Coturnix japonica: one gene and its partners. The protein of the gene in region 1 binds, or shares a complex with, the protein of each later gene. Links are inferred from orthologs where the notes say so. Each region holds a gene or a part of one and is shown on either strand. Other genes may lie near its edges.

What was found. The genes of interacting proteins can lie anywhere in the genome.
Region 2: SMARCD3 (region 1) and PHF10 share a complex: the UniProt entries of both Homo sapiens proteins name them as parts of the neural progenitors-specific chromatin remodeling complex. The link is inferred for Coturnix japonica from reciprocal best matches to the Homo sapiens genes SMARCD3 and PHF10.
Region 3: SMARCD3 (region 1) and DPF3 share a complex: the UniProt entries of both Homo sapiens proteins name them as parts of the BAF complex. The link is inferred for Coturnix japonica from reciprocal best matches to the Homo sapiens genes SMARCD3 and DPF3.

Annotation. Positions count from the first base shown.
Region 1 is NC_029517.1:105,896-110,153, reverse strand, and holds the start of SMARCD3 (SWI/SNF-related matrix-associated actin-dependent regulator of chromatin subfamily D member 3), read left to right. Parts: upstream 1-1,458; 5' UTR 1,459-1,587; coding exon 1,588-1,665; intron 1,666-4,258. UniProt on the Homo sapiens protein: Involved in transcriptional activation and repression of select genes by chromatin remodeling (alteration of DNA-nucleosome topology).
Region 2 is NC_029518.1:36,956,319-36,960,366, reverse strand, and holds the start of PHF10 (PHD finger protein 10), read right to left. Parts: upstream 2,801-4,048; 5' UTR 2,736-2,800; coding exon 2,667-2,735; intron 767-2,666; coding exon 660-766; intron 486-659; coding exon 355-485; intron 1-354. UniProt on the Homo sapiens protein: Involved in transcription activity regulation by chromatin remodeling. Belongs to the neural progenitors-specific chromatin remodeling complex (npBAF complex) and is required for the proliferation of neural progenitors.
Region 3 is NC_029520.1:23,752,086-23,756,222, forward strand, and holds the start of DPF3 (zinc finger protein DPF3), read left to right. Parts: upstream 1-1,337; 5' UTR 1,338-1,502; coding exon 1,503-1,534; intron 1,535-4,137. UniProt on the Homo sapiens protein: Belongs to the neuron-specific chromatin remodeling complex (nBAF complex).

The DNA.
Region 1 (4,258 bases):
AGGGAGCGGAAGGGGGAGGGCGCTGAGAGCAGCCCCCACACGCCCAAACGCTGTCATTGCTGCGCTATCCTACACGGCGCTGCCTGGGCCGGGGTCACCTTGAACATCAGCAGAGGCTGCTCCTCAGTCCCCGCGCACACGATGCCGTGTGTTCGCCATGGGCTGCTCCTCGCTGCTGCCCGATTCAGTGTCTTTTTGGTGCTTGTTTTTAACCACTGGGTGAGAGCAGCGATTTTATTCAATTCAGGTTCCCTTCTGATTCCCTTCTACTTGCAGCCTTGCCAAAAAATTCAGAGTCTATAGACATCAATCTCAAGGAGAGGAACAGAACAAACCCCTCTGGCAACACCTCTATCAATGTATCAGGCGGACGGGAGGCAGCCGCCCCCTCCAGCCGCACACACCGCGGTGAGCAGAGCCCCACGGCCACGCCGCTGTGCCGTCATGGAGGCGGCCCCGCCGCTGTGCACCGCAGAGCCGTTATTGCCGCTGTGCACCGCAGAGCCGTTATTACTGCTCTCCATCACGGAGGGGCCGCCGAGAAGCGCTGCAGAGGCCCCTTCCCCCCCGATGGGCCGCGGGGTCTCGTGGTGCCGCGCGGGGCTGTGCACGAGGAGCCGCGAGCTGCGGCAGCACAACGGCGAGCTGCGGGGATCGCGGCGTCTGCAGCCGTCAGTCACACGGGGCGTAGCGGGGCCGGAGAGCCCCGGACAGATCGCCCCGGGCGGGGCCGCCGCCATACTGCCATGCTGCCATACTGCCATACATCCATACTGCCATACTGCCATACTGCCATACATCCATACTGCCATACATCCATACTGCCATACTGCCATACTGCCATACTGCCGTGCTGCCATACATCCATACTGCCATACTGCCATACTGCCGTGCTGCCGTGCTGCTATGCCGCTATGCCGCCCCCGCTGCTCGCACGCCCCCCATCCCTTCTCCCCCGCTCCGTCCCTGCCCGCTCCCGTCTCTCCGCCTCCCGCCGCCTCTTCTCGCCGCAGGGGCCGTTCTCATCCTGGCGCTGGAATCGCCGCCAGCGAATGTTTGCCCGCTGCCGGCGGTCCCCGGGGACGGGGCCTGGAGCGCGGCGCGGGCGGAGCGCTGCGAACGGGGGGAGCCATTGTTTCTCCCCGCTCTCCCGCCGCATATTGTAATGGGAAAACTCCCCGGGAGCCGAGGCCGCCCCCTCCCCCTTGCCCCAGAATTTACCATCCCCTGCGCCGAGGAGGAGCGGCTGCGGCTCCGCCGCGAAAGGCCGGGACGTGTTTTCAATCTGCCTGGCTCTTATCTCGGGTGTTTGGACAGAGAGGTTTAAAAAGCGGGATTTTCTGTCCCCGCAGAGTAAACACGCAGAGCCCGGCAGCGCAAACTATTTCTGGCTTATCAGTGGAGGAATGCAGCAGCTGAGGCCGAGCGCGAGTGGGCCGTCAGGAAGGCCCTGAAGGGGCCCCCTCCCCACTCCGCGCTATTAGAAGTGTGAGAGCCCAGCAGGACTCAGAGGGGAGAGTTGGAGAAAAAGGCAGAAAAGGGAAAGAAAGAGGAAGAGAGAGAGTGAGAGAGGCTGAGCAGACCCCGATGGCTACAGACGAAGTTACAGGAGGGGCTCGCAAAGCTACGAAAAGCAAACTTTTTGAGTTTCTGGTCCATGGGGTGGTGAGTCGGGAAAGTTAGCGAGCTGCTGGCTCCGGATCGAGGGATGAGTGCAGAGCGGAGGCTGCGCCGGGCTGGAGCGGCCCCTGCTGCGCGCCCGTGGGGCGCCGCTCCCCGCCTCGCCCGGGAGCCGCGGGGCCGCCGGTGCACACGATGTGACCGATTCGTTGCTATACGGCTTTGTCTGGGGGGTTGCGTGCTGTGATTGCTGCTTTGATTCTCCGTGCTTGGTGAATAGCGTGCTCCCGAGCCTCGTCACGGTGCGGGATCTGCACCGCGTCTGACCCAAACGGGCTCGTAGGACACTTTGTTCTGTAAGCAAACTTGTGTTTTGAAAAGCAATTCTGATGCTGGTCCGACGCGGCCGTGTGGCGCTGCCTCTGGTTCTCGTCTCCAGCCTTGGCTCTGATGTATCCGCTGGCTACTTAACAGGTGACTTTCAGGGGCTTGGAGAGATTAGCGCTGCGGATCTCTGCCAGGCGATGGGCGCTCACCCACGAGGGAACGTCAGGTTGCCGCGCTTAATTAAAGGAATCACTCAGGTCTTTAAAAAATCGCCAGCTTTTGTTTAAGGAATCAGGTTTTTGATCTCCATTTAAGGGGATACGCTAACCTTGTTTTGCTGCCAGGAGAAACGATGTTCTTTAAATGACTGATGGTTGAAAGCGACCACCATTTATAGCATTCGGATGTCTCGTGCTGATACACTTTTAAGGAAATAAGACCCAGGAAACGCAGATATAGCTCAGATGGAGACAGTCCCTGCGTGTTTTCTCTCCTGAGCGTTCTGGCACCTTCTGTGACACCTTTTTGAAGACATCCGCTGCGTGTTCCTGTACAAAGGAATCTCGGGAGCTCGCTGCAGGCCTCTGGGTTGTCCCCATAATTCAGGCTTGCTCCAAATGTATTGGATCTTTCTTGTGTACTGCAGAGCCTGGCTATGATGAGCTTGCAGGGTGAAGGACTTTTAGATGGCATTCTGCTCCCTGAGAGCAGTGAGCAGGCAGAGCGGTGCCGATGTACATCAGCAGTCTGTGGCTGGATGGGCAGATATGACAGAAGCAGGTGTGCGGATCTGTGGCAGTAGCTGTGCTGTGAACACGTGTGTTGGTTAAGATGGTCTGGCTCAGGGTGGCTGTAGCTGGGTGGCCGCAGGCATCCCGGGAGGGCTGTGCACGAGGGTAGCTGTTTCTTTTTCCAAGGCTTCTGTTGGCACAACACTGCTCTTCCTTTGGTATTTCCAAGAGTTGCTAAGACAGTTGGATGACCCTGCTTCTTTCCCATGTAGATGTGAAAGGAGCCTGCTGGCCTCTTAAGCATGAGAAATGTTAATTCATACCAGAATTAATGCAGCAGAACTTGTTTCCATTAGTTATTTGGGTGCTAGAAAAGTCTGACTTGTCTGCACTGCCTGTTTCTCCATGAGAGGCGTCTCACTTGGTATCCACATTGCCTGAGTACCTGCATCTGGTTGTTACCTTTCCACTGCCTGTCAGGGGAAACAGAGCTTCTTGTCCATCACTCTTTGCCTGAGCTCCTCTTGTAGGACCCTCTGCGCCCCTCCATGATTATTTCCTTTGGTTCTGCTTTTGCTTCCGTGTTTGTTCTTCACTTCTAGTTTCTTCCTGACCTCAGGCTCATTTTGGTCAAAACAGGTTGAGGCAGCCAGTCTTCCATTGCTTACAAAAGACCCAAAGTTGCAACTTCATTTACCTGTTTACATATCCTATCGAATAAAAGAACGAGCCGTTACCCCGAGTGCAGATATTGCAGCCTCATCACCGCACGCGGCCTGTCTGCATCTGAATCAATTCCTTGAAGATTCAAGTTGAAGAGTAAAGTTTTCCAGCATGCCTTGGAATCAGGTTATGCCTCCACTCCAGGGAAAATCTCCTCTTCAGATTACTGGGTTTTTTTGTTCTCTCTTTGGCAAAATGATCTCTCTTGATTACTGCAGGTATTGTTATCGTTATTGTTTCATTTTCAGAAATGGGAGTGTATAAGCAGGGATAGAATGCCATGAGAAAAAAATGTACTGTTTGAAGAATTAAATAGAAAGGAGAATTTTGCACTATTTACTGAGAGCTGTTAGATTTTGGGTTTATTTGATCTTTCTGAAAACATGTGTTTCTCTGCTAAGGTCACTTCGCCCTTTGCTCTTGTGTGTTTCATCTTGCCTTTGTTCTTTCCCATGCTGCCAGCTCAGAAGAGATCTTCTTCCCTTTGTGTGGTTCAGATAGGATCCCTCTGTGCTGTCAGATCTCAGTGGTGAGAAGCCTCAGGTGTGATACTTCGCCCTGCTGGAGTAGTTTGTTACACCTCTGCTGAGCAGTTCTTTTCAAAAGACCGCCTTTCTTTCAGTTATTCCTTAGATTTCTCTAACTCCTGGTCTGTTGATCAGGGCCTCACACGCTGTATCTGTGGGAAGAGGGATTTTTTGCACAGGCTTCATCATCCTTCACTGTCACTTTCGCCCCTCTGCTCTATTTCCAGAACTGTTATGGATAAATTCAGCTTTAATGACCACCTTTATGCCTATATGTTTTTTCCTGATGTGTTTTCTACTGTCCAGCAGTACACTTCAGGCTGCCCTTGT
Region 2 (4,048 bases), on another chromosome or scaffold:
AAGGCCAGCTTTACAGTAAGAAATCACCAACTAAATACTTTGGAATTAAGCTGGGGTCAGTCTTCAAAAGCTACTTACTGATCTAACACTCAATTCATTCTTTTGTATAGATTTTTCAGTGGCAAGACTGAAAAGTCTTAAATTACATAGAATTCCTACTTGAAATCTGTAGGATATATTTTCAAAAAGCCAGTAACAAAATCACAAAGTTGAACATACAGAATAGAGATTCACTTTTGCTATGATATTTTAATTAAATGGACCATTCTGTGGTCAAAAAGACACAGAGATTACATTTAAAACCTAAAAAGGCAGATTTTTAGAAGAAAGACTTTTAAATACATATATATATACCTGGATATTTTCTTTTAAAGGAAGTCACACCCAAATATTCACTAACTTGCTCCTGAAGCATATAGTACTCCCCTGTTTCATCTGGCGGCCACTTGTACTCTATCAGGTTTTCAGCAGGAAAATAGCTGTATCTGAGCGTAAGAACAACATCAGAAGAAATCAAAGAATGCTGGGAGAAAAAGACCAATAGCTACTTGCACCACTCAATTCAAACAGTTAAACAAAGAACATGAAAGAACGGAGAAGAGCTAATGCTTCAGCATATCAAATGAAACAGTAAGACTAGCAATAAAAGGCTGTATTACCCGAGGTCCTGACTAGAAGTCTCACAGCTCCGAGAACTGTCCCCTGAGCCCATCCGCCGTCTTTTCGACGGCTGGCTGCCATCATTGGAATTTTCTTCAGTGTCATCCTGAAACAAAGATGAAAACAGATATTTATCAATTTAAAGCATTCAGCGGGTAATTTAAAACATCAAAAACATTCTAATATGAAGTTTAGACATACCTGAAGGACTGAGCTGTTCAACAATAGTCTCTACACAAAACTGACAGGATAGTTTACACAGCAAACGTAAGAACTGATAGACAACTTATGAAAAGATGGAGTAGCAAAAGCTTTTTGTCAATGAAGGGATTAAGAAAATAACCCTAAAGCTACTGACTAATAACACTATATGACTCATACCTATTCTTTGCTTGTTAGCAACAGATCTCAAAGCATCTAGTGATCAGAGTTACATGACTACAAGTGAGAAACAGAAAACAAAGCAGTCGAGCAAGCTGCACATAGTGAGCAGCAGTAGATCCAAGAACAAAACTACCTCAAATAAAAGAAACCATGGACTAGTATGAAAATATCATTAAAATAAATGCCAGTTCAAAAGAATAATAAAATGCAATGTTCAAAATGTTCATACTGATTGTCACTGAATTAAAGTACCCTTTTGGATGGCTGCATTAACAGCTTTCAAGCAAAGCAGGTAATTGTAGATATATATATTTTTTGTAAGTTAGTATCAGCCCTGAGCTGATTTGATTTAGTTGGTCAGCTTTTGCCGGGCACAGAAAGTCATTTAGTTTCCATATGGTCCCATTACTGGGGAATTTTGGTCCAGGCTGTTTGACCTGGATCTCAAATTTCCACTTGGATTGTATTTATAAGTATGGGAAAAGAAACCGCTTTTCTTTTATTTTGTCAGGTATGCTTTGCAACTCTCTTACTTCCTCAGTTGGAAGCTGGACTGAGACTGCTCTTTGCTACAACTAATATAAGTCCACAGCTCATTCCTTTCTCCCACACAGCACCCTGATGCACTGTAGAGTTTAGAGCTGATGGACATAACTACTAAAGCTATGTTTCCTATAGCAAAGCTGACAAGAAACTTCAAAGTATTGCACCGGTTTTCTCTTACTGCATCGAAGTTTTCCCTTTCTGAACACCGTGTTTATAGTACATAAGCACCCACACCGCAGGAGGGACAGCTGCCTCTGCCTCCTCCGCTTTTAGTTTCGCTCACAGAATCACAGAATGACCCGGGTTGGAAGGGACCTCAAGGATCATGTAGTTCCAACCCCCCTGCCTGGCAGGGCCACCAAACATACACCTTTACTAGATCAGGTTGCCCAGGGCCCCGTCCAACCTGGTCTTGAACACCTCCAAGGACGGGGCATCCACAACCTCCCTGGGCAGCCTGTTCCAGGGCCTGACCACTCTCCTAGTGAAGAAGAAACTGCTCCGCAGACGAACACAAAACACGCAAGGAAACAAGGCAGGACGGTGCAAAGGACTCGGCAAACAAGTGAGAACACGACAGTTCAGTCAGAAAAGCTCAGCCGAAACAGGCCTTGCCTTCCTCTTCCTTCCCCGCCTGGCAGAAGCACGCCCAGCACAGCCGCACTGCTGCCTGTTGGTTGGCTCTTTAAAGTTACAGAGCGAAGTCTCCGTACGCCAATCAGCTTCCAGAGCTCCGCCACGACGCTTTATTTTGTAACTGGCAGCCGGAACTACCCAAACCTCCTCCAAAAGTGCCCAACGAGCCGTGCCCGCGGGGCCGCTCGCAGCCAGCCCCAAACTTGGCGTGGTGCGGCGGTCCGGCACGGGCGGCGCTCAGAGGAGCCACGGCGGCCGCACGGGCGCTTGGCCCCGACCCCGCGCCACAACTTCGCCGCAGCCGCGGGAGGCCGCCAACACCCCCGGGCGCCCCACCGCGAGGAGAGCCCGGGCTCAGAGCGGAGCCCCGCGGGGGGGGGGGGCGCCGGCCGAGGCCTCCCGCCGCCCGGCCGCAGCCTCGGGCCGCCCGCCGCGCTCACCTTCAGGGACTGGTTTCCGGGCGTGGCCGGGTCGCTCTCGCAGAGGCGCGGGGACAGCACGGCCGCCATGAGCGCCGCGGGGGCCGCCGCCGGCTGGGCGAGGAGAAGCGCCGCCGCCGCGCGCCCCGGCCTCGCGCCGCGCCCGGCTCCGCCCCCCCTCCCCCTGCGGGGGGTGGCAACGGCCCCTACCGGCCAGCCCGGGCACGAGCGCGGCGCCTCGCGCAGCTCCTGCTCCGCCCCCCTCCGGGCTGCCCGCGGCGACCCCGGCCCGCGCCGCCGGACCGGCACGCGGCCCGCCCCGCCCGCAACGCCGCGCGGGCCCGGCAACGCCGCTCCGCCGCCGCTACCGCCGCCGCAGCCGCGCCCTCCTCCTCCTCCTCCTCCTCCTCCGGCCGCCGCAGCCGCCGCCGCTCGAGCGGCCGCGCGGCCCAACCGCGAGCGCGGGGCCGATCCGCCTCGGCAGCGCTTGGGTAGCAGCGCGGCGCGCAGGGGCAGCATCCCCACGGCGTGGTGGGCGCCGAGCGCCGCCGCCGCCGTCCGGTGCGGGAGCTGGCCCCTGCAGGGCTGGGCTGCTCCGTCTCCGGCGCGTCAGCCGGGGACGAGCTACGTTTGTGAACCATCCACCAGCGCAGGAGGGGTGTACGGGGGGCGGGGGGGAGCACTCGCAGGAAGCCGGTGCGAGCGCTCTCCCCCCCGAGGAGGGCGCTTGAAGCCGGCCCCGCCGCTGCGCGGAAGGAGCGAACGCGCCGCCGTCAACCCGCACCCCCTCCGGCCGCGCCCGTCGCCGCTCCCCCGGCCGTACCTGGCAGGAGAGCCCCCGTCCGCTCCGCGCCTCGGCCCGCACGCGGCCCCGCCCGCACCGCACCGGAGAACAAAGCGCGAAGCCACTCCCACGCGGGGACCGCAGTCCCCCGCCTCGGGCCGCCGTGGATGGCGGGGAGCTGCCGCGCGGCCGGCACCGAAGCCCTAGAGCGCTCCTGCCCGCGCCTTCAGCCTGGGCACCGCTCCGTACAGCCCGTCTGCACAGCCCCGGGCACGTTCAGGGATAACACCGCCAGCCTTAGGAAACGTTTACATGGAGCTCGTAACAATAGAAATGGTGTCAGAGCTCCTTTCCCACATTCCGCAGGATCTGTGCCTCGCGGATCTACCTTAACTCTTATTAGCCCTCGCCGTTGTTGTCTTCTACAGCCCGTTATCAATAGCCATGCTCCAGGGCACGTTCTTCTTGTCCTTGCCCTGAGAAGCTGCTTGCTGAATTCAGCGCTTACTCACCCGCCTGAGCACTGCAGTACTTAGAACAAGACTAATAGTCAACGACCAAACTCAGCCCCTTCCAGGAGCATATGTGGAAATTCACACCAATTAAGCATGTAAAAGAT
Region 3 (4,137 bases), on another chromosome or scaffold:
ATCTTTGTGGCAGTGGGACGTGATTCAGGTCACTGGTCGAGGGTCACCAGTTGAGCTGCATTCAGACCCATTCATTTTTGTGCAGCATGCGCAGCATCGTGTGCTTGTGAGAGCTCGGCAGTTTGTGGTTAGCTTTTCCTGTGAACAGTGTGAGTACCGAACAGGGCTTTCTGCAGTTACAGTCAATGTCACCTGGACCACTACTATACCATATAATATAATGCAATATGATAATGGAAACGTTCTTGAAGATTGCTTCCCAGAACCGTGGTTAGGATACATCTCGGCAGTCTGGCAACTCTCCAGCTGACAGGAAGCTTATTTCTCCTGTAACCAAGTGTCTCAGATAGGGGAAGATGGTTCCCTCCGGGAGCACACAGTGGGCAGGTTGGCCTTGGAGCTGCAGCAGGTGCTGCTTTGGGAAAGGGGACTCTGGCAAAGCTGCTGAATCCTGCATGACTGGGAAAGTGATGCACTGCTCTTTCCCCTTATCTGCATGTAATAATTTCTGTACCTCTCTGTTGTTCATCTCTCAGCCTTTTCTCTGCTGCCCACACATTAGAAAGTTTTATTTTGACAAACAGTTGGGAGAGATTTAGTTTTTCTGCCCTTGCAAAGCTCATCCCATGAGCTCAACGATTGCTGTTTTCTCTGTGTTACACCTGAACATCTCTCAAACATTTACTTCCATTCTTTCATTAAGTTGTGGATCGGGCTACCCTCTGTAGGCTTATCTTGCTCCTGCGATGGGAATGATTTAACTGCGTGTAGCTGAGTTTCCTCCAGTTTTATGAATGCGAGGATTGGAGAGGCAGGCTGCTGCTTGTTTCTGGATGGACAGAGGTGCCCGAAGGGAGGGGAGTCCTTCGGGAGGGACGGGGCGGGAGCTGCTGGCTCGGACCGTGCCCGTTCCATTCCGGCGCTGTACTCCGAGTGGCGCGGAGTTCCAGCCCGCCGCTTCCTTCGGGCGCTCTGCCGCTCTTCCCAATTCCTTGCGAGCACTCCGTGTAGCGGCAGGTGGCCGCGGGCTCCCGGGACTCGCCCCCGCCGCCGTCCCGTCCCGGGAGCGGCCGGGGCGGGGCGTGTCGGTCATCGCGGCCGGTCGTTACGGTTATGTAAGGGCTCGGGGCCGCGGCCACCCGACGCGGGAGGGAAATTCCTGGGGGGGGGAAGCGGCTCCCGGGGGCCGGGCGGATGGCGGTGCCGGCCCGGCGGGAGGGCGGCGGGCGGGGCGGTGTCCCCGGGGGCGGCCCCTGCCAGGATCCGCCCGGCCGCGTGCCCCGCGCGGGCGCTGCCCCTTTAAGGGCCGCTCGCCGCCCGCTCCACAGGCAGGAGCGACCTCTGGGCTTTGACAGCTCCCCTAATAACTAGCAGCGCTACGGCCCCGCCCGCGGAGCACGATTGGGCGGCGGGCCGGCACGACCCGCGCCGATTGGCCGGGCGCTTCCCCTGAGCGAACCTTTAGAACTCCGAGACACAATATTCTGTTACATTGTAGCAAAATGGCGACTGTCATTCACAACCCCCTGAAAGCGTAAGTAGGGCTCAGACCCGCACACGCTCCGCGTGGTTCCGCTACGAGAACGGCCGCCCTCCCGCCTCGCCCGGCCCCGGCTCCCCGCCTCCTCGCGCGGCCCCGGCTCGGCGGCTCCGGGCGGGCGGCGCGTCCTGCGGCCCCGGTCGGGGCGCACCCGCACCTGGCGGCGTCCCGCGGGGTCCGGCGGCGGCCGGGGCGGGGCGGGCGGCGGGGAGCGACGAGCCGCGGGGTGCGGGGTGCGGCGCGGGGCAGCGGCGCCGTTTGCGCGGAAGGCTCCGAGCGGCGGGGAGTTGGTGCCGCTCGCGGCTCGGGAGCGGGCGCCGGGGGCGGGAGGGCGACTCGGCTGCCGCCGCCACCCGGGTCCCCGTCCTAAGAGGGACGCGGGATCGCTCGCCGTCCCCCCTGCTCTCCTCTGGCGTTTCCCTCGGGTTCCGGCGCGCGGCTAATCCCGGGGCATTAGGGAGAGCGCGACCCGGCGCCGCGTAACCTCCCGCGGGAGAGTTGTGCCTCCCGGGGCAGCGCTCCCGCGGACGGAGCGCAGCGCAGCGCGGACACCTGGCGGCGGCGCTTCCCCGCACTTCTCAGCAGCGCGGAACGGAGTCCGGAGCCGAAGTGAGGGCTGCGGGATGTGGCTCCGCTTTCTTTTCTTCTGTTTCTTTTTTTGTTGGTTTTTGACTCGCGTCCCTCCGGCTGGAGTTGGCAAACCGCTCGGAGGTGGTTCCGGGGACTCCTGCCGCCGTCTCTCCGCAGTCTGCGGGGAGGATGAGCCTCGGGCTGCGGAAAGGTGCTGACACGTTTGCCGGCTCTCCCGCTCCGTCCTGGCAGAAAACCTTCGCTTTCATTTCGCGTGCGCTCCGCAGCGCCCACACGGCCGCGGGCAGCGGCAGTGCAGGTGCCCCGCGCTCCTTTAAGGGGATCCCGGGGCTCAGCACCCGCCGCCGCCGCTCTCTGGACCCGCGCCGCCCGCAGCAACTTGTCGCGCTGATGCCCCGGGCGCTCCGTCCCGCTCGCAGTTCTCGCCCGGCTTCCGGAGCCGCTCTCAGCGGGCAGCGCTCCCCGGGAGCCCCGGGGGGTGGGGGAGAACGGGCCGCCCCGGCCCCGCCAGGCTGAGCCGGGAGGGCAGCGGAGCTCGGCTCCTCTCGCGCGGCGTGGGAGAGCGCGAACAATGGGCAGCTCGTCTCTCTGCCTGCACAAGTGCTGCGCTGCTGAGCGGGGGAAGCGGGACCGGCACGGACTGCCCGGCACCACCTGCGTTTTTATATCGAGAAGTTGTTTAATAAAACATTTTATAATTTCCACTCATTCTTTAAAGTTGCTGGTTGGGGAAACAATACGCACGTAAATAAATTATGCACGGGATAAATTAGGACAAAAGCGGTAGGACGCATAATAGGGGAAAGGACGTAGAGCACAACGTTTTATCCTCATGTGTCCTCCCTGACAATGAAAGGGAGCCGAATGACATTTGCATTTATCTGCGTTTTGATTGTATCTGAAAACCCACAAACGCCCCCTACAGAAACTGCCCGCACAAAGGTTTCGCTCCGAGCCGGGGACAATGTCGGGACCGAGACATCCCGGCTCAGGTGTCCGCAGCTCCGGCTGTGCCGCCCGTCTACGGTGCCCAGAGCTCAGTTTCTCTCCGGCACTTGGACACATGTGTGGCCTCGTTCGTGCTGCGCTGCTCTCGAAATAACGTGCTCCCGTGTACCTGAGCGTCCCTGGGAACGCGCTGCACGGAATAGCGCGGTGCGTGCAGTCCCCCGGCTGTGATGGGCGCTCCCACGTTCAGCTCGCCTCTCTCTCTGCCTCTTTTCTCACTTGCTGGTTCTCTTCGGGGGCTTTCATCCCTCTGCTCTTATCCCCCTCGCTGCCTCTGTCTGTCTGGTCAGCCCGACTCAATCGCCTGCTATTTTTGCCATCCAGCACCTTGCTCACCTACACGGTGCTCCGAGGCAAAAACGGCAGAGATGTGAGCGTAACAGATCTGCGAAGAAAGGGCAGCAGGTGTCTGGATAAACACAGAGTTCTTTGCCTGCAGAAAAGGCAGCACTCAGTGTGCTGATGGGCAGCAGTGGGCTAGAAATGCTGCATTCATTGTTGGGTACCTATCTCTATTTCTTCTTTCCATCTTTTCCTTTGGATATCTTAATGCGGAGATGTTCGAGTGGGGCAGCAGAAGGAACAAATGCAATGAAGTGGTATTCTGAATGACTTAAAGTGTCAGTCAGAAATCTCAGTGGGCTTTGTAAACATTAATTAATTAAACCTCTCATCACCCCTGTGAAGAAGGGATTATTGCCTTTGTTTTGTGGATGACTAAACTAGGACAAAGTGGTTAAGAAACTTTCTGAATTGAAGATCAAGTCTAAAGCACAGCAGTGCAGCTTCCAGCCTTAGCAGCCAGCCACATTTCCTCCACTCCTGCCTGACTAGAAATGTGCATACGGTACCATAATGTATTTAATGTAATTAAGATCTTGTAATTTACAGAGCTCGATCTAGAAGTGGAGCTGATTTCCTCCACCCTTTCTCAGTCTGTACTCCCACAGCTGACTTTTCTTTCAGATTGTCAGTTAAATGCACTCCCTGGAGCACTC